Linked DNA regions of Oreochromis niloticus. The protein of the gene in region 1 binds, or shares a complex with, the protein of each later gene. Links are inferred from orthologs where the notes say so. Each region holds a gene or a part of one and is shown on either strand. Other genes may lie near its edges. The genes, in order: slc3a1; b(0,+)-type amino acid transporter 1.

Evidence for each region.
Region 2: the proteins of slc3a1 (region 1) and b(0,+)-type amino acid transporter 1 are in contact, whole or in part, in a cryo-EM structure (PDB 6LID), measured with the Homo sapiens proteins. The link is inferred for Oreochromis niloticus from reciprocal best matches to the Homo sapiens genes SLC3A1 and SLC7A9. Residues at the interface, in NP_000332.2 of Homo sapiens: Pro64, Tyr65, Ala66, Gly67, Met68, Pro69, Lys70, Leu73, Phe74, Phe76, Ser77, Tyr82, Pro85, Arg86, Phe90, Thr93, Val97, Leu100, Ile101, Ala103, Thr104, Ile107, Ile108, Ser111, Cys114, His201, Asp202, Thr373, Glu374, Pro375; in NP_001119807.1 of Homo sapiens: Cys137, Phe140, Tyr141, Val142, Gly143, Cys144, Pro147, Ile149, Val150, Cys153, Leu154, Ala156, Ala157, Leu160, Phe161, Thr164, Leu168, Thr279, Thr281, Asp295, Arg296, Tyr299, Tyr343, Val346, Arg347, Lys467, Thr470, Met471, His472, Gln474.

What each region holds. Positions count from the first base shown.
Region 1 is NC_031978.2:11,068,015-11,084,541, reverse strand, and holds slc3a1 (neutral and basic amino acid transport protein rBAT), read left to right. Parts: upstream 1-8,789; 5' UTR 8,790-8,944; coding exon 8,945-9,374; intron 9,375-10,135; coding exon 10,136-10,315; intron 10,316-10,442; coding exon 10,443-10,588; intron 10,589-10,731; coding exon 10,732-10,857; intron 10,858-11,138; coding exon 11,139-11,258; intron 11,259-13,602; coding exon 13,603-13,727; intron 13,728-14,070; coding exon 14,071-14,272; intron 14,273-14,858; coding exon 14,859-15,041; intron 15,042-15,280; coding exon 15,281-15,406; intron 15,407-15,508; coding exon 15,509-15,943; 3' UTR 15,944-16,152; coding exon of another isoform or gene 16,153-16,230; 3' UTR 16,231-16,429; downstream 16,430-16,527. Other genes in the region: ppm1ba (protein phosphatase 1B), read left to right, coding at 3,932-3,961; prepl (prolyl endopeptidase-like), read right to left, coding at 16,153-16,230. UniProt on the Homo sapiens protein: Acts as a chaperone that facilitates biogenesis and trafficking of functional transporter heteromers to the plasma membrane.
Region 2 is NC_031983.2:24,847,223-24,863,511, forward strand, and holds the start of b(0,+)-type amino acid transporter 1, read left to right. Parts: upstream 1-8,766; 5' UTR 8,767-8,829; coding exon 8,830-9,558; intron 9,559-10,669; exon of another isoform or gene 10,670-11,189; coding exon of another isoform or gene 11,190-11,888; intron 11,889-12,201; exon of another isoform or gene 12,202-12,251; coding exon of another isoform or gene 12,252-12,263; exon of another isoform or gene 12,264-12,291; coding exon of another isoform or gene 12,292-13,020; intron 13,021-13,823; coding exon 13,824-13,957; intron 13,958-15,507; coding exon 15,508-15,637; intron 15,638-15,728; coding exon 15,729-15,853; intron 15,854-15,957; coding exon 15,958-16,045; intron 16,046-16,121; coding exon 16,122-16,289. Other genes in the region: utp25 (U3 small nucleolar RNA-associated protein 25 homolog), read left to right, coding at 3,089-3,344; b(0,+)-type amino acid transporter 1, read left to right, coding at 11,190-11,888, 12,252-12,263. UniProt on the Homo sapiens protein: Associates with SLC3A1 to form a functional transporter complex that mediates the electrogenic exchange between cationic amino acids and neutral amino acids, with a stoichiometry of 1:1.

The DNA.
Region 1 (16,527 bases):
TAATTATGTAGTCACAGAGTAAGTGTGTACGCTCTGTGTAACATATTCCCATGAAATACCAGTGGGAGATCTTCTTTTGTTAATCTTATGTTGATTCATCTCATGTGGTGGCCTAAGCTGGTGATTTATAGACAAAGTATAAAATTACTGACTTAAGATGTGGCTTTGAGCCCATCCCCTTTCAGTTATGTTAAATGCTGTTTTTCTCTACGCGTGGTGCAAGATGATACAGCTTTGTCAGGAAATGTTTGAGTGGAACTATGAAGTTGCAAGTGAAGACATTCATTTTCAGGTTATCTGCTTCAAATAGGCTTTTTTTTAAATCATTTATTTTATTTGCCTCCACCGTTTGGAGCTTTCTTTATCCTATCAGAAAAGTGTATGAAGACTCTTTAGTTAGGCTTTTAAGTGCAGTTATCTGACACTGGTATGAGAAGTTTTCCCATGTTTGAGCATGAGAATGTGATATGTGAATGTACATTTCTAAATTTACTTTGCTGCTGAATGGTAGATTTTGCTCTGCATCCTTCAGCTTTAGTGTCTTTATGTGTAATTTGAATTTTTTTTAAATTTGCCAATATGAACACAGACATTCACGCTCTCATACTGACACCCATTCACATACTGAATGAGGTAGTAAATCTACAATAAAATAATAGCAGATAAAGGCAAATACTAACAACAAATAGAAAAGAAAAACATCCACCTTTTAAAGCTTTCAAGTTTAATGTTTAATAAAAGAGTTTCCCCTGTAAGCCTGGTTTTCAAATGTTGTAGTGGTTGTAAGTGACAGTGACAGGAGATACTGTGCAGTGACTTTGACAGTGCTGTTTAACTCATTACATTACCTTCTGCTTTTTCTACTGGCAGAAGTTTTCCACTTTAGTCAGCATTTTAAAATTTGTGTCCTCATATTCGCCTTTTGTAAGTGACATATGTAGACACTGTTTTATACAGCATGTGCATAAAAAATGGAATCCAAAATTATGTCCCAAGGAAAATATTGACTTATTTTTATTTGCCAGTAAAGACAGACACCCTTTGTTACTCTGATTTTTTTTTTTTCTACAACCATAGACTGTATATGAAAGATAGCAATGGATAATTTAGTTTCGAACTCTGCATTTTAAATTCTTCAGTGTAAGCATTTTGGCTACCACAACTTTGGTGTTGGAGGCAGAAGTGACCTTATTTGGACAATAAGGGTGTGTACTAAGCTAGCAACTGGCAAACTTAGTTGACAGTTTGTAGACTCCACTGGTGCAATACACACACTACTGCTAATTAGTGCTAAATAATAGACTAATAAAATACTAGGGTATGAGTAAACAACACTGAAGGACAAACACACGGATTGTACTGCACAAGACACCAAGCTGTGTTATTTGTCAGATAATAAAGGCACCAACAGCACACACAGGCTGTTCAATTTATTGACTAAACTTAGTGACTGATTTAGATTCTGTTTGTGGAATTCTGACAGGGGATGGTAGCTAAGATGGCTATTTTCACACCCTAGATAAACTGAGGTATGAAGCACCAGTGTAAGAAAAATAAAGATTGTTTGAACTGAATCATGCAAAGCTTCTACTAGGGCCGAAATGAACATAATGGGTCCAGTTTACTTGAGGTGGATTGCTATAATAAGCTTTTCACTAATGTTTAATGGAAAGTTTAAAAAATGTCCAGGTGTTCTTTTCTAACTAGCAGCTTCATGTTCTTTGAGGTAATGGACAGTGCCAAGGCACTTGTTGAGCCAGGTTTTTAACCTGCATTTACATTTGCAGGTTACAACACATAAGCTCATTATAACCATAGAGGAGGAAAAACAATCAGCTTATATAAACAGTATTGTTATTGTTGTCCTCTTTCAAATATAGGCCTGTTTCTCTATTTTTATTATTATTATCATTATTATTAAGGGTAAACTGTTTGAGTGCTTATGAAATGGTTGCACTCCAAGTTTTGTCCAAGGATTCAGTGTTTTCTACAGAGATGGAAAATATGGAATTTTAAATCTTGGATTTTGCAGCTGTTGTTACCTGCATGCATATTTCACACAAACATGTCCTTTGACAATCACGACATGAAAAAAGGGGATCAAATATACATAAAGAAGTTAACTGCACAATTTACTGATTTCTTTTTCTTTTTCTTTTTTGTGGACCCATTTATTTTTTCTTTTTAAAAAAGAGAGAAATTTTTGATTGTTTTCACTATTTACTTGCCACTTAATTACTTTTGGTATAGTACGAATGGCCATTGGAGGGTCTGTTAAATTCATGAAAATATAGTTAAAAGTCCAAAATTTATGTCTTCCTTCACATTTATCATAGCGGTCCAGTGGGCCGGATTGGAGTCTGTGTCGGTGCAATTTTGGCCCCTGGGCCTTATGTTTGAGACCCCTGTTGCAGTAAATGGCTTACAGTACTGCATGTGTTAATGTATGTATGTAAATGTTTTTAAAGGATTGATAAGTTTTGTGTCTGTGAGAGAATCTCACACTGAGATTGAGGCCACTATTGTATTGTTTAGAATGATAAGCACTGCAGTGTCCTTAAAGAGCTCTACCTGCATATAAGGGGTCTTGTGTGGTGTGGGTGTGTGTGTGTGTCCTGTTAGCTGGATGTGATATTTGCCTCATGGTGTTGTCTTGGATTTTCTGTAATGAGTTAGAGGTACTGTGATTGTTTGCTTTGTGTACACATAATCATAGAAAAGAAATCCACACATGAAACGGATATCGGCACAGTGGGTAGGTTCTGTGTGTGACTGTACACTGTAACAAAAAGTTTTGAGTGCTACCACCTGCTAGGTGTTAGGAGAAAGAAACAAGGCTGCTTGTCATAACATTGTCAAATAGAGCCATCCTAGTTTAACCTTGACAGGTTTCTTTGTCTACATTAAGTGGCTAAGCCGTCCTCTACAGCTGCTGGAAAGAAGCATGTCATAGTAGCTCAATTAGTGCTGGTTGCACCCTTCATTTAAACATATTTTGCACATGGTGTGTAGTAAGGTACGCACCTGTAGTCACACAAACATTGACAAGGGATGTATCTATTGTCTAACTGTGTGTTCACCCTCTGATTAACGCAGCCCTCCTGTTTCATTTGGTAAGTGATCACATATATAACTGTTACACCCCCACCTCCCCCTTTTCCAACCCCTCATCTACACACATGCATACAACCACACATGCACACATGTGTACAAACACACATTCTTACAGGCATGTAAGTGGTGACCTGCTACACAAATCCTCCCTGTCACACCTTCATCTGTCTCTACTCCCTTCTCTGATCTGCTGTCCTGCATGTGGAGGTCCATTTAGAGTTTAAGGCGTGTTCATGTGGACGTCTGCAGACATGATTGTCGAGGTCTGATGAGGATGAATGATAAAGGTGTTTCTAGTCCTGTCCGTCCCCCCCTCTCACGTCACAGGCATACAAACACGCATGCACTGTTCCTACACGCATGCATTGCTGTCTCACTCAGTCTTTCAGCAGCTGCACGCAACTATACAACAGTCTTTGTTTCTGTGTCCCTCCTCGAAATAAGACGGAAGGCCTTGCAGTTGTTTTGTTGGAATATGTTAAAGAAAGACTCCGGAGACCGAGGTTGAAGATGTTTACTGCCTCACGCTGCTGTTGTAACAGCATTGTAAATATATTGTGTTGTTTCTTTGTTGAGTTGTGTTGGTCATAAGGAAAACTGACCTTCAGGTCTGGGTTTGGGGGAATAAATCCTTGAGTTTCACTTTTAAAATGTTTTGTTTAGTTTTTGTTTTTTGCTTTTTATAAAAAATGTCTTTTTTTTTCTCCCCACCCTTCTTCTCCTTCCTTTGTTTCCTGACTTTTCTCTTATTTCTTCTTCCTCTATTTTACTCTTCTTGTCTTCCCTGTTTTCTCCTCTCCCTCCTTTCCTTTTGCAGAGTGGAGCGGAATTGGAGTACCACTGGTAGCTGTCCAGTGCAACTGCCTGATCGAAAATACAGGACCACTATACCACATGAGATTACATTCATTGTCACCTTTTAATTTTTTCTGTAATTCTTTTTTTTCCCACACTGAGAATAACTGAAGCTGAAATCTTGGTTTTAAAAACACCTAATGTGGAGGACTGCAAAACTGTTTTTTTTTTTTTTTGTTTGTTTGTTTTTTTTAATAGAAAAAAATGGAGGGGGAGGGGGGGACACTGCGTTCATGTTCTGACTCAAGAACTGAATCTACAATATAAACAGAGCGAGGAGGAGAGGCCAACAAGCACAGTTTCTCTTGCCCCTTGTTTTCTTTTTTTTTTTTTTTTTTTTGTGGATTTGCAGAGACATAGGACACAGGTCTGAATCTTTTAGGGTTCTGTGGTGCCTTGCTTAGACCAGAGAGAGAGAGAAGGGAGGACCTCACAACTCGCCAGCCAGCCACGACCAAAACCAACCACTAGTGGATTCATTGTAAACACTGAGAAGGCTTAAAGTGGTTTGTGGCATTATTTCTTTGGAAGTGTGAACTTTTTCTTGCATCTGACGGGGAGTTGATCGACCACACAAGCCTGCAACTCAACTACACACCTTAAGCTACACTGTCCAGTTCAGGATCTGGGCATTACTGGTACACAAACAGGGGCCAACACTTCACTTACCAATGGACATGGCTCACTGGAGATCACCTTACAGAACTCACAGAAATGTAATAAAAATAACTAAATGAATCACTATCCAAAGACCTTGAGGTTAAAGCCTCAAATTCAGGGTCTGAAAGCCTGAGAATCCACACCTGACCATAAGGGGAGCACTTATGTGAGAGACTTTTTGGCACCAAATCCCAGTTTGGTTCCTGGATATTATGTCCAGACTTAAATGGGACGTGGACTGGTTTGCCCAGCTGCAAATACATTAAACTTGAGCGTGATAGCGACTCTTCTTGCACGTCTGCTTACTTTCTGTCTGCTCATCTCTTTCAGGATATTGTCACTTGATTTGTCACTCTTCCCTTCTGTCTGCCTTATTTTTTAAAAAAAATTTTGTTTTAACTTCAGTTTCTTTGCCTCTTCATGGGGCAGAAAAGACTCGGCTCTCATTTTGCATTTGCAGACAATGCCAGAATCATAAGCTTTTGAGCCTGCTGTTGTTGAAGATATTATAGAAAGATAGAAACTGTATATGAAATTCATAAATATAAAAAATATATATAGAGAGATATCTATATAGACAGAAATATTTTGATTTGTTTGTTGTCACTTAAATTCCCAGCCATGGTATTCATTGCGGCCTAATGTCGAAAAAAAAAAAAAAGAAGGGGGGGAAAACACCTCCCCACCCAATAAAAAAACCCCATGATGCTGCACACACCGTTCCCACACAGCAGCGTTCCAAAGACAGGGTTTGGGGTAAAGGAATTCCAACCGCCCCCTCATCCTTAACACATGCGCACACACAATCCTGCTCATGCTACAGCTTGCCTTTTTCTATCTCTCTGATATCCTGTGTGTGTATATATATTAAAAAAAGAAGAAAAAACAAAAAATACCTTTTTTTTTGGTTTAGATTGTAAACATTTATTACCTTAAATATATGCTTTTTTTGGTATACTTTTTTTTTTAATTACTATTGCTGTGGTCCTGTTACAAATGGATAAAGAAAACAACAAGAGGAACCTGAAACATACCTTTTACAACATATTGGGAGACTTGGGTTTTGGCTATTCACTGTATGAAGTCAAAGGAGGGACACTGTAGGCAGAGGAGAAGGGGTTCTACACTGAGAGTTAAATTCACAGTCACTGAATTGGTGTCCTTTTTCTTTTTTCCCCTCTTTTCCCCACAACCACCTTCATTGACTTTACCTTGAAGGCACAGGACAGTTGCTGATTTAGGTTGGGTTTGGGTTTACCAGGAGTCTTTTGTGTTAACCTAAGCACTAAAAAAGTGATGGAAGCTTTAGAAATGGATATTTGTCAGGAAAGAACTCAAGTCTTTTACAGTGTGCGCACACATGCATTGTCTATGTGTGTGTGTAGTATTTAGATGGGGTTAAAATATGCTATAAATACAGAATCATTTAATGGCATGTAATGTGCTTTCTGAAGTGGCAGTATTGGAAGAGAATACACCTGACAGAGATTGCTGGCTGGTTAATGTTATTGTGGTACACTTGCTCTTGGTGCCATATGACAAATAGGTACTTGAATGTGTAGTTCTTTTGCAGTTACAGTTGTTTTATTGCAATGATATAACTTTTCTTTGTGGTGGAGGGAGTGGGAGGGGTGGTATCTCCTATTGGTGCATGTTTTGTGATTGAGGAAGGAGTGTAATTTGCGTGTGATATGCACTGGGTGGGTGGGTGGGTGGGTGATAATGTGGACAATGTTCAGTGTGGTGAAACACAATGTTGGAGAGGAAAGGCAGTGATAGAGGAACAACCTGTAGATGAACTGGAGCACAAATGAGGATATTAATTCACTTTTAGGGACTTAACGTACAAATTAGATTTCCCTTAACTTTAAAACCCTAAACCACATGTTTCCCACCATTCCCATTGTGGACATTGTCATATCTCATATTCGCATACTTTTTAACATTGTGCAAGCTTTTACCACACTGAACATGGTCTTCAGTTTAGGTTTTTGTTTAAGCTATATCAGACACTGGGCTTGGAGAGAATTTAAGGGAGGGAAGGACAGAGACATTTATTTTTCTGAATGTAATTCTTCATTACTCACACTGATTCCACTGCATGGACTGAATACAAGCAGCACTGCAGCATCACATTCTCTCCTCATCGGTCATTTAATGGCAGAACAAGCTACCTTGGCTTCCTTTGTTTAAAAAACAAAACAAAAAAAAAAGTATATACTTGATCATTATTCTGATTGTGGAATATAATGTCAGAACTTATGTGGGAAGACATAAGATAAAGGAGACTTTGAAAGTTTGGCAATGCCTGGATAATTTGACCCTGACTTGTTGCTATGATTTAACGTTCTGTTGAGTAAAGAGAATTTTACAAGCATTTGGTCTCCTGAACCTGTCGGTTATTTTTGGGCCGGGTTGAAGGTTTACATTCCCTGTGGGCTTTTTAGCATAGACATGTGTTTCTGGTCACTCTTCATATACAAGTAGAAATTCCAGGGGTTTTTTTTCAGGACATTGTTTTAGCTCCTAAAACATCAGAAAATCATCACCTTTGTGCACCATCCCTTCGTCCAGCGTGCTTTATAATGTTGAAAGACCAAATGATGAACATAAATGTCAATAAAAGACTGAAAGGTTTAAACAGCTATGCTTTTTGCAGTTTTAGTTTGAAATGTCAGCTATTATTATGTATGCAATTAAAGTTCAGCACAACACAACAGCAAAGCTGTATTTTATGTATATTTTTTTCAGTTTAGGATCTGTGAGCTGTGAAAAGAAATGTTAATCAACACATTGTTGAAGCAAGCAAGAGGGCGTTTTGTACAAGAATAAGTTACCATATAGGTCAGAAAAGAGAGCAGCGAGTCTAACATTAAGATTGAAAGACTGACACAGGCACACAAATGTGTCAAGGGTTCTTTTTTGTAATTTATCATAAGTCACAAGATGGTAAATCGGTGGCAATAATAACAGAAGATCGATTCCTAGAAATCTGAGATACTGTAAAGGGCAAATTGAAAAGGAATTCTATCATTTGTAAATCTTAAATGTATTTTCTTCATAAGGGAAAATAGAAAACATCAAATGCTTAAAATGAAAAAATGTAGCATTAAAAAAAAGTCCCCAAAATGTTTATACATTTTTAGCATCCCTTCTTCTCTCGACAACAGTTCATAAACTTGTAGGAACTGAGACCAGTTCCAAAGGTTTTCAGTTTGGTCTTTAATCTGTATGGAGGGGTCAGGGGATAGAGGTCACCAAAAACACACTGCCAGTACAGTTAAGAAGCCTGGTCAACCATTCCTAAAGACTTCTTTAAAAAATTACAAAAATGCTTATCTAAGAGAGGCTGTGTTAAAAAAATAAAAAAATAAATAAAGGTGATCACACCAAATATACACTTGTTAGAACAAAGTCAGATTTCTGCCAGCGTTAAGAAGTTTAAGTACACATTAAATCCCTGAGATAAGATAAGATAAACAAGTGCAATTTCAGCAGTACATCCTTCTACATGATAAATGTGTAAAAAATAAAGACAGATAAAGTTCTGCTAGCTCACTGTCTCGAACGTCCCGTATTTATGAACCATAAAGTTTTTGTTAATTGACAGCAAATTTTTCTATTTAGTTTGCAGAAATTTCTAAAGATGGTAAAAAAAACAGGAATACTGTACTTCTGTCATTACGTAATGGATACACAATTAAAACACTTTATTGTAGTATGAATGACTGTGACAGAAGTTATTTATCAGCAGGAAAAGCTGTAAAATTGGGCGTCCTATGGGCCAGGTTGGAGACTTTGTCACATTTTGGCCCCAGAACTTTAAGTTGAACACCCTTGATTTAGGGTGTATTTTATGTATATATATTTTTTTCAGTTTAAGATCTGTGAGCTGTGAAAAGAAATGTTAATCAACACATGATGCGTTTTCTAGAATTAAAGAAATGGAGTAGCTCTTGGGGTTTTGAAAGTTCACAAATCCCAAAATAGGAAACACATTTAGTTCAGGTGCAACTTTATCGCCTACAATGTTAAAAGGCAACTTGCGCCTCGGTGCTTTTGTTTGGTTTGGAAGGTTACATTTGAAGTAACTGATGTCTCAGTCGTAGTTAATACTGTGTACTGAAAAAATGCTAATCTGTAACCAGTCCCATCAACTCTCCACTTTCCCACATTCCACAGGTGTGTCAGAGACGGGCTCTACTCCGTGTACTATGACCCTCTGACTGTATTATCTTTAATGTGCGCTCTCCGAGTCACTCATTGTTCTTGAGGCGAGCTACACAACCCGACACGGTTCGTTTTAACAAACAACATGAGTTATAGAAAAGACTCCGACAGCGTGGAGCTCGGGGAATGCACCAGAAACCCGGGTTACAAGGATGCAGACGGAGACGGGCCAGCAGCGAGGGACAACATCAGCGTCTCCGACAGCGAGGAGAAGCGGGACTCCATCGGCGTGAAGCGGCTCTCGGACGCGCGAGATGAGTACACGCAGATCAAACCGTACGCCGGGATGCCTAAGGAGGTGCTGGTGCTGTACTCCTCTAAGGCCCGGTACCGAGTGCCCCGAGAGATCCTGTTCTGGCTAACGGTGTGCTGCACCCTGGCTCTGGTGGCGGTCACCATCGCGGTGATCGCGCTTTCTCCGAAGTGCCTGAGCTGGTGGCAGGCCTCCCCGGTGTACCAGATTTACCCCCGGTCCTTCAAAGACTCCGACGGGGATGGGGTGGGAGACCTCAAAGGTAAGACACCCGAGGCACTACTGCAAGTTCTGATAACGACTGTTCGAAGATTTTCATTAAAACAGGTGTTCTTATACACGACACCAATGACGCTCCGCTTCCCACAGTGGAAGGCAAATACTGTTACACTTTTGAGTCACTTAGAGCATTTCCATATTATATTGTGCATTTCAAACTACTGTACTTTTAACACCTTTAGGCCATATTATAAATACTTCCCCATATACTCTTATAGATTATACTTATAGAGTAGCCTACTATTGAAATCCTGCAAAATCGCTGTGATTTTTTTTTGCCAGTTAAAGCCTTCTATGAACTCTTGAGGCTCCATTTTTTAAAACAATGTAGCACCCTTTCTGAGATGGTGTATACTTTGCCAAATTCTTGTAAATCCACAATGTCCTGGTAGATTTTTCACTCTGTCAATCTAACAGCTGCTCTTATCAATTTCTTATGTTTGGTCACTTATACAAGAGTAAATTATTAACTTTATTTAACCATTAATAATAATAATAAACTATACAAAGGGAATGGTAAAACTGCATTTGGTTGTTTTCAATGGCTCATTTATAATATTAAATATGCAGATGCTTTTTAGAGGGAAATGACAGTGCTCTCATTATATTGCATTATTTCCTATAAAAAAAATTACTAATGCATGCTTTCAGTACTCTCTTTTCCTATCCATAGTCCTTCAGTCTATTAGGACTGAATTTCAGCACCGAGTGGTTACAGTAGATCCTGTATCTCCCGTCTGACAGGCATCAAGGAGAAGCTGGACCACTTTGAATACCTTAACATCAAGTCAATTTGGATCAGCCCTTTCTACCGTTCTCCCATGAAAGACTTTGGGTATGATGTGGAGGACTTCCGTGATATTGATCCACTCTTTGGAACCATGAAGGACTTTGAGGAACTCCTGGCAACAATGCACAGCAAAGGTGTGCACTTTGAATACCCTTGTTTATGTGAAAATGTGACGCTAGAAGGTGATTTTGGGGGGTATGAGTGTTTTTTTATAGCAGGCTGCATGTCTGACACACAAATACCTGTCTCCATTTCCACCAGGTTTGAGGCTAATCATGGATTTCATTCCCAATCATACCAGTGATCGACACCGCTGGTTCAACTTGAGCCGGACTAGAGATCCTCACTATGAGGATTATTACGTGTGGACTGACTGCAAACCAGACGGACCGAAGCCTAATAACTGGGTTGGTGCTTGTTCTGTTCTTTTCTAGCTGGTCTATGATTTTGTCTTCTTCACATTTTCACTGAACCTTCACCAAGTTCATAGTACTAAACAGGTGCAATGTACTGGAATTTATATCAGATTTGTTTCCCATCTTGCACTCAGGTGAGTATCTTTGGGAACTCATCATGGACATACGATGAAGTTAGAGGGCAGTGCTACCTCCACCAGTTTCTCAAGGAGCAACCAGACCTGAACTTCAGAAACCCAGATGTCATCAATGAGATGATTGTAAGAACTGTATTATCATTCTTGTGTCCTCTGTCCACCTTTAACAGTAATGTGTGACACACTGATTACACATTAACTTGTACCAGTTAACCTATATGTTTTTAATTGTGGCTGCACACAGCGCAAAGTACAACATAAGCAATAATGGGCTGTACATAAACATTATTTCTACTCAACTGTCTTTGCTATAGTTAAATGATTTTATCTTTCTGCAGCCTTTTCACACATAATGTAGATGCTAGTTTAACTGCTCTATATGCATTTCTTTTTCTCAATTTTAGGATATTATTCATTTCTGGCTGGATAAGGGAGTGGATGGCTTCAGAATGGATGCAGTGAAGCACATGCTGGAGGCTCCACACATGAGGGATGAACCACAGGTTGATCCAAACAAACCACCCGTGAGTGTTAAACTACACATCTAACCTCATTGGTTTTGCTGAGTTCAGCTAAAATGACTCGTCACTAATGGGCGCCGCTCGTGTCAGACAACAAAACCTGCTGGCTTTGTGCTAGCTGCCATCTGCTCACACACTGACTTGACAAAGACGGTCAAATAGCTGACATTTTCATTTTTAATAGTGATAGACAGAGTGGGTGTAACAGGTGAAGGTGTAGCAGTTGTTTAGTGACAGTTGTGATTAAATGATTTTGAGTCTTTTCACAAGAACACATTCATTTGCAGTACTTTTATGACAGTACAGTAAACTCATTGTCATGTACAAGTTTGATCTAAACCTTGTGACATTGTGTGCTATCCTGCTAGAAGCAGCCATCAATAGATGAAATAACACTCAGAAAATATATCTCCAACAACATTACACCACCACCACTAGCCTGAACCTTTGATAAAAGTCATGATAGATCCATGCTTTCATGTGAATTGTAGCCTCAGTTTACAGGAGTGACAACCAGCGTGGTCTTCTGCTGCTGTAGCTCATCTGCTTCAGGGTTCAAGTTTTTAGGTATTCAGAGACGCTCTTATGCATACCTTATTTGTGATGATGTTTTTTTGAATCACTGTTGCATTCATATCCGCTCAAAGCAGTCGGGCCATTTTCCTCTGACATAAAAGCGCTAGGACTTTCAAGAATTTTTAAGTTGGGATTTGTTATGATGCAAAATCAATTTTAAGATTATGCATTTGTTTTGGTAAAAGATTAACCACCAGGTTGATTTACCCCTAAGTCTGGGCTCACTTTGCCCGACAGCCACCACTGTGGAAAAAGAAAACCAGAGCCACGTTTTGGCTAAAGCAATCCCATGTGTTTACTCACTGGCACTTCATCAACATGTGATATAACTTTATAACCTAAGATAAATAGCTTTTGATGTGAAACTGATAGATGATATCTGTTATGCCAATAAAATCTTTGACAGGCAAAAAGCATTTTACGGTGAAAAACCTTTAAATATATCTACTTCATCTATAAGGTTCTTTGTTCTGCAGTAAGTTGAAAAAGGAAAATGCTCAACAAATTTGGGGTTAAATGACAAGAACTGTGCATCGTTGCTCAGATAAAGGTGGTGGATGAACTTAACAGTTCTAAGAATCAAAGCTGTAACTTAGAGTTATGCAGTCATAATTTGATTTTATTGACTTATGTAATTATCTGAAATGTCAGAGTCCAAAATTTAACGATCTGATCCATGAAAGCAGTACTGTGTGCAGAAGCAGCTTCACTGAAGAAGAACTTTCCCTTGTTGCTAGTAGAATAAAAATAATCAAAAGCTGAGTGGGACTGTACACACTGTGTATGATGTATCACTGATTATTTATCTCTAGCTTAAATGTCAACTTCATAGTCATGTGAAGAACACACTGTTTGTGAAACTCAAAGGGTTCGTGATACATGCTGAATTAAGGTCAAAGAGGCTGAAGATATTTCTCACAGGGGAAAGATTAGAAGCAAAGGAGCATATTTTGGTGGATTAGCAAGTCATTAGGAGTTTACTTACGACTGCAGGGTAAAACCATAACACTGGGACTCTTTTACTCACTGATGACTGAGAATTTATACCCACAGATTTGCAGTTAAGTTACATTTTTACAATCTGATCATGTTTAACCATGAGGTAATTTTTAAACCAAACAACTCTTTGCCATCTTAGAAACAGTAACGCATTTTTACAAACCACTGGAACTACAATTCTGCAATCGAGAAAGATATCTAAAAGTTTATAGGCATATTAAGAATTTTATCACACCCTGAGTTGTGATTCAGCTAAATACGAATCAGAAACCATCTGCCTCTACATTATTGCTTTAGTGGTTTATGCTGTGGTTGCTGTTGGCTGAATGGTTCACTTGCCTGACATTAGGCCAGCTTAATGGCTTGAGATTATCTTTCAAAAAAGACATGCACATTAGGTGTAATTTTAGAACTGTGACATCACTGTCTCTGTGCAGGTCTATGGCTGATTCCCTTAAATCTGTAAACCCAATGCTTTACACTCTGGTAACGCCAATAGTTGTCCAGTGAGTCAGATTTCCTCAGCGCCTCCATAATTAGAACTTAACAGAATGTTTTTTCTTCCTTTGCCTTTCTCGCCCATTTTATTTGGACAGTTACAAAAATAAAAAGTGTGAAGAATTAGCAGAAACTTTCTTAATCCACAGTTTCTTACTCAGCAAACTTTGCTCATAGAAAATACAAACTCTAACTCCAGCACACAGCCTGAAAGTAGCTAAGCTATACTAAAATTGCATAATCACTACATAACCTTTTACATATTTCTATCCAGGAGTTGGTAACTACAGAGTGGGATCTCCACAGTGACTACACCACCAGTCAGGTGGGCTTGCATGACATACTGAGGGAGTTTAGAGCACAGATGGACATCTACAGTCAAGAGCCTGGCAGATACAGGTAGGAAAGTGATTAAGTGCATTCAATATTACTATGGCAGAACAGATAAACTTGTAATGCACTCGCCTACTTAATTATTACTACCTGTAATTATCATGTCACAAACATCCTTAATATTAAAGACCTTTTGCTTATACAATGCACTAATGTTCAAACCAAACTATTTCATTAAATATGCTAATAAAAGCAACTTGAAATCTAGAATAAGGAATTGAGCCCAGATTTTTTTTAATTATTTCAAATAGTAGGATAAACAAAATCAGCTAATAGACAATATCCTGACACAAGTCATTGTGGTTTCTGTGTCATATCACATGCAAAATAAATTCCTCCTGTGCTGCAGATTCATGGTAATAGAGTCATACGATTATGAAGAGGTGTACAAGACCATGATGTACTATGGCACCAAGCTGGAAAAGGAAGGTGACTTCCCCTTTAACTTTTACCTGCTGGATCTACCCCAAAACACCAGTGGAGCATGGGCTAAGCATCTGGTCCACCTCTGGATGGGCAACATGCCCAAAGGAAAATGGCCCAACTGGGTGGTGAGTTCTTAAACTCATATTTATATATTTATTTCCTCGCTTTTTACAATGGTAAAAACCACAGGATCAGTAGCGTCATGTCCTGCATAATGTGGCACATAACATGCTGAAATCATCAGATTAAGGAATGTGTCAGCAGCATTCATAAGAATGAACTGTCGAGTCATCCTTAGTAGACTGTCTGCCTGAGATCATGCTTCTGCTGTCGTATCTTTCTAACCACAGGTCGGTTTATGTGTTTGTTAATCATCAACCCCTTTGCAGTGATAGTTTGACAAACACTAGGCAATTAAATTAAATTTGTCAATACAAAAACCCTCCTGTAAAGCTAAATAATTAGTAGCTGAGTAAAAGTAAATTAAGCATGTTTATTTTCTGTAATTACTATTGATTAGGCTCAAAAGTATAGCCTTTTTACTTTATGTCCATCTCCAGACTTTAGCACCTAACACATATTAAGAAAACAAATATGTGTGCATATCTCTTTCCTGAATGACCTAACCCATCCCTTTCAGCCCACCTCCTTACTTCCTAATTTCTTATTCAACCCGCTGTCTTGTTTTTCTCTTACCTACACTGTTATCAGGTTGGAAACCATGACAGGACTCGGATTTCTTCCAGTGCTGGTCAACTCTATGTTCGTGCCATCAACATGCTGCTGCTGACCCTTCCAGGCACAGCCACCACCTACTACGGCGAGGAGATCGGCATGGAGAACATTAACGTGACAGCAAGTCAGATACAAGACCCAGCCGGCAAATACAATACAGTCAGTACTGTGCACACACTGAAGAAACCTTTAAACCCTCACTGTCACACATCTCTGTGAGAGGTCCTTAAAAATAACCAGTTTAATGTCATTTTAAAAATAACAATAAATAAACATAAATATAACAACATAAATGTCTTTACTTTAAAGGACATTTTTGCAGTCTTGTTGTATCTAATACACTTGTGACTGTATACATGAGCAAATATACCAATATGATTCCTCTGCTTTCGCTGCAGAGTGCCAGTCGAGACCCTCAGCGTTCTCCATTGCAGTGGAATGCTAACATGAACGCAGGTTTTAATGATAAAACAAATCTCACCTGGTTGCCACTACACCCCGATTATGAAACGGTCAACGTGGAGGTATAGATCTGTTTTTCTAATGTTCAACTTTGAAGAAAGATCGTTTTCTTATGTGTATCTTTCTATGGTTCATCTGTCCTCCTCCCATTCCTTTATTCCCAGGCCCAGATGAAAGATGATGGTTCTGTTCTGGCTCAGTACCGCTTCCTGAACACCCTGCGTCAATCAGAGCTCCCCCTTAACCGTGGATGGTTCTGCTACGTCCACACTGATGCCAATGTCTTCTCTTACATCAGAGAGCTTGATGGACTTAAGCGAGCTTTCCTCATAGTGGTTAACTTTGGTAAAGAATCAGTTGTCACAGATCTCTCCTCTGTTCGTGAGCTGCCAGATGAGTTGAAGGTGCTGATGAGCACCAACAAAGTCAATGATGGCAAAGTGTTTCCGAAGTCTCGCATCCAGACAGAAGTAGGAGAGGGTTTGGTGATTCAGTACTCCACCAACACTCGGTTTAATCCCAACCATCCTGAAGAGTGCTACATCTCTGAGAAGGCTTGCTATTTGGAGACCATAGGCATACTTTATAAATGTCAGTAAAAATGGAGATGAGTATCCAATAACTGCTGTATTATGGAAACAATCAAAGCATTAAGATTTTTCTCTGGTGTTTCCTCTACAATGTAGTTTTTTCTTATCTTTGAAAGTGTAATTGCTGTTATTATTATTAGATTTGGGCACCAGTCTGTCTAGTTGCTGTGATGGAAGATGCTCTGTTTTTCATGCCCGACTGCTTCTTCATAGCCTCGCTATCTTCTCCGCTTGCGTTGAGGCCGAGGAGGGTCCAGGCCTAGCTCCATGTACAGAAATGCAAGCTCGAGGGCTTCCTTTGTTATGGAATAAAAACCAAACAAACAGTATGTATCTGTCATCACCCATCCAAGTGCTGAAACTCAAACTTTTACATTCATAAGGCCAATTATAGATTATATATTAAGAAGGCTTTCTCAGATTTGGCTGCTTATCACACACGTACATGACATCATGGTGCATTTGTAATAAACAAAATCACATCTACAGGTAAAAGGCCTCCTTGATTTAACTGACTTTATAGCTCAATTTTAAAGCTGTGAGACAAATAGTATATTGCATACTAATATTTCATGTCTCAGAATTGGTGTGCA
Region 2 (16,289 bases), on another chromosome or scaffold:
GTTTTTTGTTTCGTTTATTTCAAACAGCAACCAAATCAATTTTATACCCACTCAAAATGTTACAATCTAAAGCCAAAAAACAACCCTGTTTTGGGAGTCAATAACAAGACTGCACCAGCTTTTACCAATTGCTCTCTTATTGCCTGTTCAGTTTGTAACACTTTTCTTTTGGCTTTACTAAACTTTAGAAATTCAACTGTAAGAGGACTTTTAACAATCGCTTCTGTCAGCTGTGAAGGCTTTAAAGGCACTAATCTTTAGAGTTAACATCACCAGATAACTGATATATTTGTAATCCATTTTATTGCACTCACCTGATAGCTGCATATGACAAGTTGCCAAGAGAGAAACTGTGGTAATGTATGATGAAGTCACAAGTGGCAGAGAAGTATGTGAGGCTGGTACAGGGCATGAATGTGGGGGTGGGATTGCATCAGGGATCATCTCTGAGCCCCCTGTTGTTTGCAGTGGTGATGAACAGGTTGACAGATGGGGTCAAGCATGAGTCTCTGCAGACTGTGATGTTTGCAGATGACAAGACAGAATATGTGTGTGAATGAGGGGGAGACAGGTGTACAGGTGAACAGGCAGATTTTAAATACCTGATGGAAGAATAGCAGAAAGAGTGAAAGGGAAGTTTTACAAGATGGTAGTGAGAGCTGCTATGATGTGTGGTTTGTGAGGTGGTGGTACTGACATAAATCACAGGAGGCTGAGCTGAAGGTCGTAGGATTTTCATTGGGAGTGACAAGACTGGAAATAAGTACATCTGGGGGACAGCTCAGTTTGAAAACAAAGTTAGAGAGCCAATGCTGAGCTTGTTTGGAAATGTGAAGAGAAAGAATATAGGATATATTCAACAAAGGATGGAGAAGCCAGGCAGGAGGCAAAGACCTTGAGAAGAATTGTGGATAAAGTGAAGGAGGACATGCAGGGGGTTGGTGTGACAGAGGATACTTTGGCTGGGCTGAAATGGAGGCAGATTATCTGCTGTGGTGACCCCTAAAGGGAGCAGTCAGAAGAAGAATTGTAGGACTGTCAGGTGTTTTCATCTTGTTGTTGCTTTGATGCTTCTTTTTTAAAAATTTATAGCACATAGATGCCTAATCATGGAATAATTCCTAAATATTTCAAAAGAAAACATGAAGATATTTTTGCCTTTTTCTGCTAGATTTATCCAACTAATTTCCTCCTTGTTTAGAATTACTGCAACGTAAACAATGCCTTGCATTCATTGCTTATCCCAGCCGATCTGAAATGAAAATTATTTAAATTAAAGGTTGCAACTACTCCAACAGTTTTTACTAAGCAAATTAAGTGACATTAAACCCTTAAATGCACTTTGATCAATTAATACAGCTCATGATCTCTATTTAGGAAGCTTATATAAATATATGCTCTCAAGGCAACAACTTGATAAGATTTTATTACACCAGCGTGATAGTGTAATAGTTCTGCGTGATCGTTCGGCGTGATAGTTCAGCTCGGGGTCAAACAGGCTGTTGAAATGTCAAATCGTATCAGCAATGCATGTCATTATAATGTTTCCTGTTATAGAAACTGGTTTCGTGTATCCTCTGCTGTAGGCGGTAATAAAGGACAGTTTATTATCAGTTCTGTCCTCTCGCTTAAAGAAAATAGTCATTCAGCTTAAGCCAGTTTCTTTTCCCATTAATGTGCTCCCTTTGATCCTTTTTAAAGAGCTCTGGAAGACTATTGGACCAATCGTTCAGACCACTGTTTAAATTAAATACCCCGTTCAGACTAATATTAATAAGCTGTGGTACTCCTGCTGATTAAAACATAAATCTCAGTGCTTTGGTTTTCTCTAATTTTAGACTTATTTAAAAACTGCCATACATACCTAAAGTTTTAGAGAAAACTGTACTTTTAGAACAGCAGTTCTTTTTAGGCACTCGCAGTATTTAAGTTTTCTAGTCTGGTCTGAAAATCATCCATGTTTTTGTGAATTCTAAATGGTCTTTTACTAACTAACTTGCATGACTTCACTATTATTGTGCTTTTAAATCTTACTGATGCTTCTGACGCAGTGAACTACACCAATCTCATGTCCTGTGTAGAACACTAGGGCATCAAGGGTGGTTTAGGTCCTATTTATCACAGAGAACCTTCTCGGCTCGTCTTGGTGACCTTCCTTCCTCAACCATTCACAAGGTTTAATTCTTGGGCCAATTCTCTTCTCTCTTTATTCTTTCCCTATGGGACTAATTGCAGATGATACCGTAATTTACGTGCCAATAAAAAGAAACCATGTCAGCTCCCTTAAACCACTGCTGGTGGCTTTAAATACTTATAAGCCTGGGTGGCCTTAAAGGTTTTTTTCATTTAAGTAAACTGAGGTCATTCTGTTCACATCAAGTGGTGTCTGTACTGCTCCTCTCCTGGGCCTTCAGCTAAACCTACAGTGACAATCCAAAGTGTCGAATTAGATGGGCAGATTATTTCTGTTCTTGAAGCAAGATTTTACCTGCTGAGCCTTTTATTCAAGGCGAAATCTACTTAAGCTTTTTTTTTTTTTTTAAACAAATTTCTTAGTCATGCTTTTATGATAAAACATCTGGACTACTTTAATGCACTTTACGTTGCCTTTAGCAACACTTCACTTACTCGTCTGCAGTTAGTCCGGTTTTTTTTTTTTTTAAACCTTTAAAAGATCAGCACCAACTTGGGTATCCAAGCTGCTGACGATTAATTTTAATAGAATTTTATTACTAACTCTCACTAGTCTAACCCAGGTTGCTTCCCTCAGTTTGGCTCCTTTCTTGGTAAAACTGTTTCACTGCTTTTTTTTTTTCCATCACTGGACCAGGCCTTTGTCTTCTTGAGGGCATCCAACCAGTCTACATGCATTTTGTGGACTTTAAGGGAACTGGCCTATTATTGCAGGGAATTTGGTCCTTGTATTACGATAGCTTGGTTTGCATCAGAAATCCAGTTTGCAGATTGGATGACAGTTAGCTCCACCAAGTATAAAGCAGCTGTTTTTAACTGGAAAAAACCATGAGAAAATGATGGCCCATGTTGTTCTTGGTTTAAAAGAGCCTGATCTCTGACGTGCTTCTTTTAGGTACACAATCAAAGGGATACAGAACCTGATATTTTACGGATTGCCCTCCTTCCCACACTTCTACAGCGAGGTGTGTAACATGCTGGCAACAGCAAGTCAGGGGGAGGAGGCCAGCTGGACCTGCACGGCACTCTACTCGCGCTACGACGCTCACAAACTGGCCGCCATCACCGGAGCACAGCGAGCAGGACAGATGCTGAACTCCAACAAGGCTGTTCACCTCTTTGTCACGGGAGGGGAAGACAAAAATGTATGATGACACTGGATAGATATGAGAAGGACGGCTGGAGTAAATTGAGCATAGGTGTTTACCATGCTTAATAATCAGGAAAGTTTCCACATGCACCAGAAAACATGTTTATTGGCCTTGTTGTTGCAGGAGACCATAAAACATTCCTTTCATTTGTAAAGAGATTATTAAGTTGTCACTGGTAAGAAGAAAGAGTTGGATGTTTATTATTAAAAAACTTTTCTTATCTTTTACTTGATTAAAGTTCATGCATAGCAATATGTGACCTAACACGGCCATGAAGTGCCAAAATAATTGCATAATAGTTTTCATGAGGTGATCATGCAGTAATTTAATGAGAATTTCAAGCCAAAAAACCTGCTAGACTAGCTTTGGATGATTTACAGTTCAGATTAATCCTCATAAAACTTAATCAAAGACAGTGTAGATTAAAACCTCAATGTCACCGTGAGAATCATGGACATAAATGTGGAGCGACTAAAGCTCACAAACTCAACATGTAAATGTTGATGTTGAGGGTCCAAAGGAATGAGAAGACCCCCATTTCAGACAGGTCATTGAAGGTGACAACACTATTCTTACAGGTTGTTTATTTAATTCCAGTTCGCTCCTGTTTTATGACTACTAAACAAGCAAAGGTGGGGAGATGATAACCGCCTTTAAGCATCAAGAAACCCCCAGCAAAGCAAGGCTCGCGGAGGGGTAACAATCTATTACATCGGGTTTGGGGCATGAGGGGAAAAATGAGAGAGCTGGAGGAGTATATAGAGGCCACTATCAATTGAAACAATACATTAAACGAGAACAGAAAGGGTAATGCATGCAGAAAGGTGCAAAAATAATGGTGAACCATAGATTATGACCCATTTTTTCCCCTCTTTTTATTAAATGCAGCTGATCTAAGCGGATGTCACTGATAAGTCCTAGGCTTAAGTTTTCGTGGGGGTAAGGAGACTATTTTAGAGCTTTAAATTGGTCTTTTTATAAAACAGTCTAATTTCCATTAGAATAACAAATGCGTAAAATGAAGTCTAGTCTTATCCTAAAAACTGATCTAGAGTATGTTTGTGAAACCAGCCCTTGTCCAGAGGAGACTGAAAGCTGAAGGCTCTACCTCCCATTTTGCAGTCTCACAGTGATGTGCTCTATCGGGATAATATGTTATTAGCGGGTAACATAACATCTCAAGGCCAGTGAAGGAGTACAACAGAGAGTCTTTGTGGTCTGATTTACATACTTCTGACTCAGGGCTGCTTAGGTGCTGTGCATCTCTGTCATCCCTGAAGCAGCCAATAAGAAAAGCCCAACAAACATATGAGGCCGTGTGAGAATACCAAGCAAAACAGGTGGTTGTATGAGCCGCCCACATAATTATTAACTCCTTGTGTTGATGCAATAGTGACTTTGGTCACGCTATTATTGTGTTTTCTCCACTGTTAAAGGTGTCAGATTGTAAGCAGCTGTGTAACTGCAGTGATGACGGAAGAAAAGCCGCAGAAGCTCAAACTAAAGCGGGAGCTGGGGATGCTGGGAGCCGTGTCCCTCATCGTGGGGACAGCGGTCGGATCTGGGATCTTCATGACCCCGCAGACGGTGATCAGCTCCATTGGGAGCCCCGGTGCCAGCCTGGTGATATGGGCGTCCTGCGGCTTGCTGGCAATTCTGGCGTCGTTCTGCTACGCCGAGCTCGGCACAGTTATCAGAGAATCAGGGGGCGAGTACATCTACATTCTGAGGACTTCAGGTCCAGTGCTTGCCTTCATGTTAATCTTTAGCTCTGTGCTCTTTGTGAGACCTGCAGCCATTGCTGGCATGGGACTGAGTTTTGCCACCTATGTTGCAACTCCTTTCTACGGAGACTGCCCCCCTCCGGTGCTGGTGGTGAAGTGCGTGGCTGCAGCGGCAATTATCACGCTCGCCATCGTGAACTGCATGAATGTTCGCTTTGCAATGTCAATCCAAGTTTTCTTTACTGTAGTCAAAGTCTTGGCTCTGACAGGGATTATCATAGGAGGTGTGGTGATGCTTATCAAAGGCCACACTGAGAATTTTGAAAACTCCTTTGAGAACACAAATGTTGGCGTCAATTCAATAGGAATTGCTTTCTACCAGGGGCTGTGGTCATACGACGGCTGGAACAATCTGAACTCAGTGACTGAAGAGTTAAAACGTCCCGAGGTAAGTGGGAGGGTCTTCAGAGGCTGACCCACGCCCTGACTGTAAAACACAATCACCCCGAATAAATAAGTAATGGTTTCTCTGCAGGGAGAAAATAATTTATTTTTATTGCTTAGAAACAAATGTTTAACGTGAACTTTGAGCTATAACCGGCTGAGACCTTTGTGTTGAGGCCAGAGAAGCACAGTAGCGACAGAGGTAATAAATGAATAAACTGTTTAATTTCAGATCTATTATCTGTTAGTAGTGTGTATTATGAACATCACATAGAGAAAAAAAAAAATTTTCTGTTGATATTCTTCCTATTTCTAATCTTTCGGTAGCATAATAAGACCATAAACTTAAATCAATAGTTTCTTATCGTAAAACTTAACAAGAAGGGCGAGCACAAACCCCCACCAAGGCAGTTCATTTACTTTTAAGGGATTAGTGTTAAATTTAGTTCATATTCATTTTATTTTTTTCTTTTTAAAAGTACTCTGAGAAGTTTGTAGTGCAGGTTTTTATTTGCCCCGTTGAAACACATTTTAATAAACAACATAATTTGAGTATAATTACTTTTTATTTCCCCTGAGCCATAAAATGCAGATGAGGTATTGTCATCACACAGGCGGGCGGGCGACGTGGGCACCCAAGTTTGTGAATGCAATAACGACATAGGAGTAGGCATTGATTTAATTATTAGGTCAAATTAATTTGTGTTTAGTAATAAAGACCAAGTGAAAAACAATGATAACTTTTATCTTTTTTCTCTTATTCAGGAACATTGTACATGTATCACACTGTTATTATTTAAACGTTTTAAATCTTGGTACCTTTAAGAGTCAGCTGTCAATTTTCAACCAATAAATCATTAAACTGACCTTGGGGATAATTCAGTGATTTAATGTCTTACATAGATGGATGTAGCCCAGATGTTGGATGATATATTAATGGATTGTTAACATGAGCCCATTAAATGATTATTGTGTTTTTCTCCTGAAGTCAAGATACACTCTGTGGTTCTGTATTCAGGTTTAGATCCGTTTGCATTTATTTATTTAGTTTATTTGGCTCAATTATAATTTAAAAGATTTGATTTTGAATGTATTTATTTAAACGGGACAGTGGATATTAATGTAAATATGTCAGAGTTAGCCAAACAGCAAGTGAAGCAAAAGCAATAAAAAAGACATTTAACACAACATCAGACAATGAACAAGAATCTTGCTCAGACAACAAGAATATTAGAGGCTGTTCTTTTCTTTCTAAACATTCAGCAGGGAATCAAATACATTATTTCTCCCCTATCAAAAAAAATCTATTTTCCCTTTCAGAATATAACAGAATAATAGTTACTAATTTTCCTAATCTATTGGTCCACACGTGTTTATCCCAGAGTAGACGAATATTTCTAGGAATTGGTTTCCTGATAAGATGTGGCTCAAGGTTAAAATCCCCTAATAAATATTTTTGAGTACAACAGCAACTTTAAATCTGGTGTTTTGTGTGTTAGTTGGGGCATCTCGCAGCAAGAAGTTGAGTGCCTTTAAACAGTTCATGATGCAAAAATCTCATCTCAACCCACAGTTTGCACTGGAGAGTTTGTGGTTTTGCTGGATTTACAGCGCTATAACCTGGTAGTTAGGAATGTGCTAAGTCATGCAGAACTGCTCATGCTGTTCATGAGACCATATTGCTAAGCAGTTTTGTATTTTCTCATATTTTTATTTTTAGCTTTTTAGTTTCTAAAAATGTGAAAACCTAAGAGAAAAGAACAACTTTAAACAGGCATGCATATAACAGCATATAACAGCCATGCTGCTGATAGCCTCACCTTACTTTTCGTAGCTGTATAATTATGTGTGCTCCTCCTCTTATGTAACAGACGTTTTACAACTACAGGTGTTTATTCTTGTCCGCTGCTTCTAAGAAGACGAAAACTTTCTAAACATGGGAGATGACACAAATGGACTCAATCTGCAGAGGGAAGTGGGGATCATAGGAGCAATTTCCTTCATTGGTGGGACCATGATTGGATCTGGGATCTTCATTTCTCCCCAGTACGTCCTTTCCACTATTGGGAGCCCAGGGGCCAGCTTCATTATATGGTCCTGCTGTGGACTGATAGCCATGCTGGGGGGGCTGTGCTATGCTGAACTGGGAACTATCATACCAGAGTCTGGAGCCGAGTACATTTACATACTGCGGACTGCAGGGAAAGTGGTGGCCTTCATGTTCGTCTTCAGCTTCATCATGGTCATGAGGCCGGCTAGTGGCACAGGAATCGCTCTCAGCTTTGCTGAATACGCTGTGGCCCCCTTTTACAGCGGCTGCACTCCTCCACAGCTGGCTGTGAAGTTCGTGGCTGCCGGATCAATCTTGGTGCTGGCTATAATCAACTGTCTGAATGTCCGCTTGGCCACTGGCATCCAGGTGGTCACCATGGCAGTGAAGGTGGTGGCCCTGGTGGTGATCATCCTGGGAGGCATTGTGATGCTTTTCCAGGGCCACACTGAGAACTTTGAGGACTCCTTTGAGGGAACCAATGTAGGGGTCAGCTCCATTGGCATTGCTTTCTATCAGGGCTTGTGGTCATATGATGGCTGGAACACTTTAAACTATTTAACTGAGGAGGTGAAACATCCAGAAGTAAGTCTGTGTAGGTTTGCAGTAATCTAACTCATGGTGGTCTTAAGAGCTTCAAAAACTGGTACTTTTTTAACAATTTGGTTCATGTGATGACACATATGATAATTAGTAGATCAACAACTCCCTCCAATAGGGATAACCCCCACTACGGTTGAATACCTGGAACTCTTCACCTTTTCTTTTAGAACTGAAGAAGCCTCAGGGATGACAGGTAAAATGATCTTAAGGTATCAAAAAAGTAAGAATTTCAACATTTACTCTTTGTGGTTTATAGAAACACAAAAAGAATGAGATAAATCGAGCCAAAACTGTGGCTTTTTAGTCAGGATTGTATATATTTTATCTTCTTACTAAACGAGTAAGAAGATAAAATATCGTTTAGATGAGTGGACTGGACAAAGTAACATGAAAACTAATATAAATTTTAGACATGATGACCCAAGCCTGTTGGCCCTTTAGTGCAGTGGTTAGCACTTTTGCTATAGAGCAAAAAAAACGGTGGAGTTAATATTTAAATGAGGGTAACGAGTAGGTTTTACGACCCCTTGATCACATTGAGAGCTTTTTTTTTTTTTTTTTTTTTTTTTTGAAAGCCATTTCGAAGCAGTTTGTAGCGTCTGAATTCTTTGTGATCTTTCTCAGTCTGCTCTGTAGACGTGTCGCTTTGTGCTCCCTGCTCTCTATGACCATGGCGGACAAAACCCAAAAAAACGAAGGCCTGCAACTGAAGAGGGAGATTGGATTGATTGGCGGAGTAGCAATAGTTTCTGGAACCATGATTGGATCCGGTATCTTCATGTCCCCACAGTATGTCCTGGCATATGTGGGAAGTCCTGGGGCCAGCATGTTAATCTGGGTTTTTTCAGGTGTTGTGGCTTTGTTTGCAGCTCTCTCCTACACTGAGCTTGGGACCCTCATTCCTGAATCCGGTGGGGAATTTACTTACATCCTGAGGATCTATGGTTCATTCCCAGCCTTCTTCACGGCAATCACTTTTATGCTGCTTTTGAAACCTTTCAGCATTGCAGCAAAAGCAATGACCATTGCAAAGTATGTCATGGCTCCCTTTTACCCAGGCTGCCCACCTCCTCAGCTGGCTGTGAAATGCTTTGCAGCTTTTAGTATTCTGGTAGTTGCCATGACCAACATCCTGAATGTCCGACTTGCTCTGAGAGTGCAGGTGATCTTCTTGGTGGCCAAAGTGTTTTCACTCACTTTCATTGTAATTGGAGGACTAGTGGAAGTCATACAGAGCAGCACTGTGATCGAGGAAAATTTTGACGTTGAGAATGCTTTTCAAGGCACCGAGTATTCTGTGGGAACTCTGGGAATGGCTTTCTATCAAGGCCTCTGGTCTTACGGTGGCTGGTGCAACTTGAACTATGTGACTGAGGAGCTGAACAAACCAGAGGTGAGGCTGAAAGGGTCAGAAGTGACCTAAAATAGTAGCATTTATTCATTCTAAATTTTTAAAATACAGCTTAAAATCTGTCAAGAATGATTTGATGCTCTACTGCAAAAGATGCCTATATGCTGCTATATTTTCTTCCTTAACTCTGAATTTGTATTTCAGGTAATTTATTGACTTTGTCCTAACACGGGTTGTCTATAACACTCTGTAAATCAGTGATCAATGTGTCTGAGGTGTTGTATGGGGATAATAAAGGTAGATGAGAGGACATTATGTTTGGATTGCTATCACTTCGGTCCTAACTCCAATGGGGCGTGACTCCTTGGTATCAAAGACTGTACATAAAGATGTACAGTGAATATAATATATGAGGATCAAGTAACAGAATATATTTTACAACAAGAAGCATTTTGACCAACATTTTTCTGTCTCTTCAGCTTTTCCAGAACAAATACTTTGTTTTTAGTTACAGCTCCTTGCAGCATTTTATATAATAATTAGTGCTGTCAGCGTTAATCTTGTTCAAATGACGTTAACGCCATAACCGCATTAATGCGCCAAATCTCCATTAGCGAGTTACCGTGGATCGCCCCGTGCGTGGGGCTGCACAGTGTCAACGCATTAGCACAGGTAGCTCATTAACGCGTTGACGCTGTGCAGCCCCACGCACGGGGCGATCCACGGTAACTCGCTAATGGAGATTTGGCGCATTAATGCGGTTATGGCGTTAACGTCATTTGAACAAGATTAACGCTGACAGCACTAATAATAATATTACTGTTTAAATAGGAATTTAATATTTTTAAAGACTTGGTAAATTATTTAAAAATACTCCAACTTATGATAAACTTAATTTATCCTTATCTTAAATGGTTTAAACTTCAGTGTGATTGTCCTTTTTCATATTATTTCATAATAATTCACCCATTTCCACTGACTGAATTTTGCAGCTTGGTGCTTGGTGTTCTTTTCTATTATATCACACTAGAGTCTTTTTAATCAAAAGAAGAGTTCAACTTTGGAGAGCATTTTTAACTACATGGTTTAGCAAAGTATTAAAGAAAGTAAATATTCAACTTAGTTTTATGTTATTCTGTTGGACCGCTTAAATTGGTACAAGGGAGAACCAGGCCAAGTCATGCCCATCCTCTGATAACATTGTCATGCAGATACTCTGTTCATTTCTTCACTCAGATGAGGCCCTGTCTAATCTTTTACTAAAGTTTCAGTGTTTTTGATCTTAATGTAGGTCATGTAGATCCAGACACAAGTAAACATAATATGGACAAACACCAGAGAAAGAATTGAGGACACCAGAAGAATCCACTTGGCCTGCAGGGACATTTCCAATAGACTGGAAATATTCAAAACGGTCTATACTTTTAATTTTTCACTTCTCTGACTGTGTTTTATAGAGCAGAACCTAAAATAAATCACTGTTTACGTGAAACCTAGGAGAAAAGAACAACTCTGGACAAACAGACATCCATAAAATCTGCTTAAAAAATAGCCTGATTTTAATTTCATAGCAGTTTAATTTTGTGCACTCCTCCTATTGTGCAACAGGCAGTGTTTTATAACTGCACATGTCTGATCTTCTCTGCTGCTTCTGAGAAGACAGAGTTCTGACAATGGGACATGACACACATGGACTCAATCTGCAGAGGGAAGTGGGGATCATAGGAGCAATTTCCTTCATTGGTGGGACCATGATTGGATCTGGGATCTTCATTTCTCCCCAGTACGTCCTTTCCACTATTGGGAGCCCAGGGGCCAGCTTCATTATATGGTCCTGCTGTGGACTGATAGCCATGCTGGGGGGGCTGTGCTATGCTGAACTGGGCACTATCATACCAGAGTCTGGAGCCGAGTACATTTACATACTGCGGACTGCAGGGAAAGTGGTGGCCTTCATGTTCGTCTTCAGCTTCATCATGGTCATGAGGCCGGCTAGTGGCACAGGAATCGCTCTCAGCTTTGCTGAATACGCTGTGGCCCCCTTTTACAGCGGCTGCACTCCTCCACAGCTGGCTGTGAAGTTCGTGGCTGCCGGATCAATCTTGATGCTGGCTATAATCAACTGTCTGAATGTCCGCTTGGCCACTGGCATCCAGGTGGTCACCATGGCAGTGAAGGTGGTGGCCCTGGTGGTGATCATCCTGGGAGGCATTGTGATGCTTTTCCAGGGCCACACTGAGAACTTTGAGGACTCCTTTGAGGGAACCAACGTAGGGGTCAGCTCCATTGGCATTGCTTTCTATCAGGGCTTGTGGTCATATGATGGCTGGAACACTTTAAATTGTTTAACTGAGGAGGTGAAACATCCAGAAGTAAGAATTTCAATATTTACTATTAGAAGTTTATAGAAAGTCAAAATAAAGATGAAGCATGCCAACACTGTGCGTCTCCACTCATGATTGTGCTTTTTTTTTTTTATCTCCTTACTGATTTAGATGAGCAGGCCAGGACAAACTGTAACATAAAAACTGATACTGGTTTAGGATATAATAATCTAAGCCATAACCAACTGGTGGCTCATTGGTGCAGTGGTTAGCACTTTTTCCACACAGTTAGAAAACTGTAGAGTTAATATTTAATTGAAGCCAAAACAAGTATATTTTACACCACGTGATTTCTTTTGAAAGCTTTTTCTACGCAGTTTGTAGCGTCTGAATTCTTTGTATCTTTCTCAGTCTGCTCTGTAGACGTGTCGCTTTGTGCTCCCTGCTCTCTATGACCATGGCGGACAAAACCCAAAAAAACGAAGGCCTGCAACTGAAGAGGGAGATTGGGTTGATTGGCGGAGTAGCAATAGTTTCTGGAAGCATGATTGGAGCTGGTATCTTCATGTCCCCACAGTATGTCCTGGCATATGTGGGAAGTCCTGGGGCCAGCATGTTAATCTGGGTTTTTTCAGGTGTTGTGGCTTTGTTTGGGGCTCTCTCCTACATTGAGCTTGGGACCATTATTCCTGAATCTGGAGGGGAATTTACTTACATCCTGAGGATCTATGGTTCATTCCCAGCCTTCTTCGCGGCAATCACTTTTATCCTGCTTTTGAAACCTTCCAGCATTGCAGCAAAAGCAATGACCATTGCAAGGTATGTCATGGCTCCCTTTTACCCAGGCTGCCCACCTCCTCAGCTGGCTGTGAAATGCTTTGCAGCTTTTAGTATTCTGGTAGCTGCCATGACCAACATCCTGAATGTCCGACTTGCTCTGAGAGTGCAGGTGATCTTCTTGGTGGCCAAAGTGTTTTCACTCACTTTCATTGTAATTGGAGGGCTAGTGAAAGTTTTACAGGGCAGCACTGTGATCGAGGAAAATTTTGACGTTGAGAATGCTTTTCAAGGAACTCAGTTTTCTTTGAACACTCTGGGAAAGGCTTTACTTCAAGGTCTCTGGTCTTACGGTGGCTGGAGCAACTTGAACTATGTGACTGAGGAGCTGAACAGACCAGAGGTGAGGCTGAAAGGGTCAGAAGTGATCTGAAATAGTAGTATTTATGCACATTATATGTAAAAAAATAAAATAAAATAAAAAATACAGTTTATAACCTGTGCTTTGGTAAAGATTCTGCAGGGAATTATGATTGTTGTCTTGCTGCTATCCTGAGAAAAATGACCACTTACCTTCCCCCCCCCTAAACTCTAAATTTGTTTTTCAGGTAATTTATTGACTTTGTACCAAAACACATCCCTACAACGCTGTAAATCAGTGTTTAAAGTTTCTGAGGTGACTAAAGAGGTACACAAGTTGACATTGTTAGGATTGTTGTAATTGCAGTTCTTACTCTGAGTATGTCAAGTATAAGAAGCATGTCAACCATAATTTTTCTCTTTCTCCAAATTTTCCAGAATAAATGAAAGTTTTTTTTAATTACAGCTCTTTAAAGTGTTTAATAAAGTTTATGCCTTTTTGATTAGGAATTTAATATTTTTATTTATTCTAAGAAATTTGGGGGTAAATTAAGTTTATCTTAAGTAGTTAAAACTTCAGTGTGATCATACGTATTGTTCATGTCAGTTTATAATAATTCACCAGTTTGTCCTGTCTGCATGAAACTTGGTGCTTGGTGTTGTTTGGTGAGCTTTCCCCCCCATGGTTTGGCAAAGTATTAAAAAAAAGTAAATCTTCAAGGAGGCTTTGTTTTATCATGTGAGACTGCTTTGTTAATATATGTAATCAAGATTTAGCCAAACATAACAACCATGTCATGTCATGACATTTAATTTAATTTCATGTCATTTCTTTTTTTTGTACAGGTGAATCTTCCTCGGGCGGTGCTGATAGCCATTTCTCTTGTGACTACTTTGTACCTGCTGGTGAATGTGAGCTATCTGACAGTAATGACGCCTAAAGAGCTCATGTCCTCAAGCGCGGTAGCAGTTACCTGGGGGTAAGACAACACCTGTTCTCAACCTGATAAGACCTTTTTTTATTACTTCTCCCATAGAACAGGAAGCAAACCTGAAGAAATCCTCTTCTCTGTACAGTCATTTGATATATGCATTAAAATTACTGATGTTCAAACAAATGGGGCTTTTGTAAGTTGAAAACACAGACTATATTTAAAGATGGATGTTGCCATCCTGTCTCCATTTTGAATCCTCTTTATTAGCATGTTAGCTCCCTGCCATGTTGATACCACAGATTAAATCATCCAGCGGGATTAATTGGTGATTAATAGGTAATTTAAATCTACCCACTGTGCAAATAATTATGAAATTTATCTTACACAGTTGATGTGATTTCTCGCAAGACTCATCAATCCACTGTAAGGAAAATTACTTACGAGTCACCTCCAAACATTTCAAACATAGAAGGAATGGCAGCAAAGAGCATCACTACTGTGAGGTGCTCACTTCTAGTGTCACACAAATACCAAGAGAAATTGGACCCCTTCTCGTCACCGTCTCTATGTTCCTCCTTGGTCAGATCATCTGCCGCCACGGTCTCTGCTTCCATTCCTATGCTGATGATACACAGCTTTATCTCTGTACTAAACTCTCTACCCTGCTCCCCCACAATCACTTGTCAACTATCTGCATGAAATCAAAATATGGATGTCAATTAACCTACTCAAGCTCAACAGTAATAACGCAGAGGTCTTGGTTGAGGCCCCCAATGCACTACTCCAGAAGACTGGCCATCTACTCATTGATATAGACCAGGGGAAGGCAACTCCAGGCCTCGCGTGCCGGTCTCCTGCAGGTTTTAGATGTGTCCTTGATCCAGCACAGCTGATTTAAATGGCTACATTACCTCCTCAACAAGTCTTGAAGTTCTCCAGAGGCCTCGTAATGAACTAATCATTTGATTCAGGTGTGCTGATCCAGGGTGAGATCTAAAACCTGCAGGACACCGGCATGTGAGGCCTGGAGTTGCCTACCCCTGATATAGATGGTTTCTTCATCTGGCCTTCCCTCAAGGTTCACAGTCTGGGTGTCATTTTGGAACTCTCTCCCATATGAACTTCATAACAACCCGTCACTGGAGTCCTTCAAAAAACTTCTCAAAATTCACCTCTTCAATAAAACCTTCAATCTCTAAGCCTTTTTTATTTATTATGTTTTGTAAAGCGTCCTTGGGTTTCTTGAAAGGCGCTTTACAAGTCTAATGTATCATTATTATTATCATCATCATCATCATCATCATCGTTATTATTATTATTATTATTATTACTATTACTATTACATAGGCAGAAGGGGCCTCAGAACAGATGTTTGTAGTGTTAAACCTGGTCACACCAGCAAAGGCCCCATTCAACACCTTTCAAGATAAATATTACATTGAGGTGACATCACATCCTGTCCAAAAGGTTTATTCCTACATAAGTCCACAGAGGATGTTTTTGATTTCATTTGTTAAATTACTGAAATGTATATAGAAAAGGGTTGATTGATATGCACTATAAGATGTTTTGTAATAGAAACGGTTTCCCTGCAGGAATAAGGTGCTGGGCAGCTGGGGCTGGGTCATGTCTGTGGCCGCAGCCTTGTCAGCTTTCGGTTCTCTAAACGGGACGTTCTTCAGCGGCGGCCGTGTGTGCTTTGTTGCTGCCCGGGAAGGACACATGGTAACAGTCTCTCTGTCTCATGAGAACGCATACACCTGTTTAAAATAAAGCTACATGCAGATTTTCACACAGACCTGTGCTGGTTTTGCAGCCAGATATTCTGTCCATGGCCCACGTCCACAGACTGACTCCATCTCCGGCGCTGATCTTCACCACAATAATCTCTCTGGTGGTGCTGATTCCTGGAGACTTTCAGAGTATCGTCAACTACTTCAGGTGAAGGCTGACTCTGTTTCTGCTCCATTTCGACTTCGTTTGTTTTTTAACACACATTGCATTTTTTTGTTTGTCTTAAATTCCTCTTCCTTTGCTGTTTTCAGTTTCACCGCCTGGTTTTTCTATGCCATTGTCCTGTCTGGGCTCATCTATCTCAAAATCAAGAAGCCGGACCTCCCAAGGCCATACAAGGTTAGTGTCATCATTTTTTTAACATTATATGACAATAACATCTTGTCCTCATGCCTGGTTCTTCCTCTCCCCACAGGTTCCCATTGTAATTCCTATACTGGTCCTCGCTGCAGCGATATTCCTCGTGCTGGCACCCATCATAGACAATCCTCAGATTGAGTACCTCTACGTGGCTTTATTTATCTTAAGTGGTGTTATAGTCTACATACCCTTCATCCATTACAAACTCTGCCCAGGAATGTTG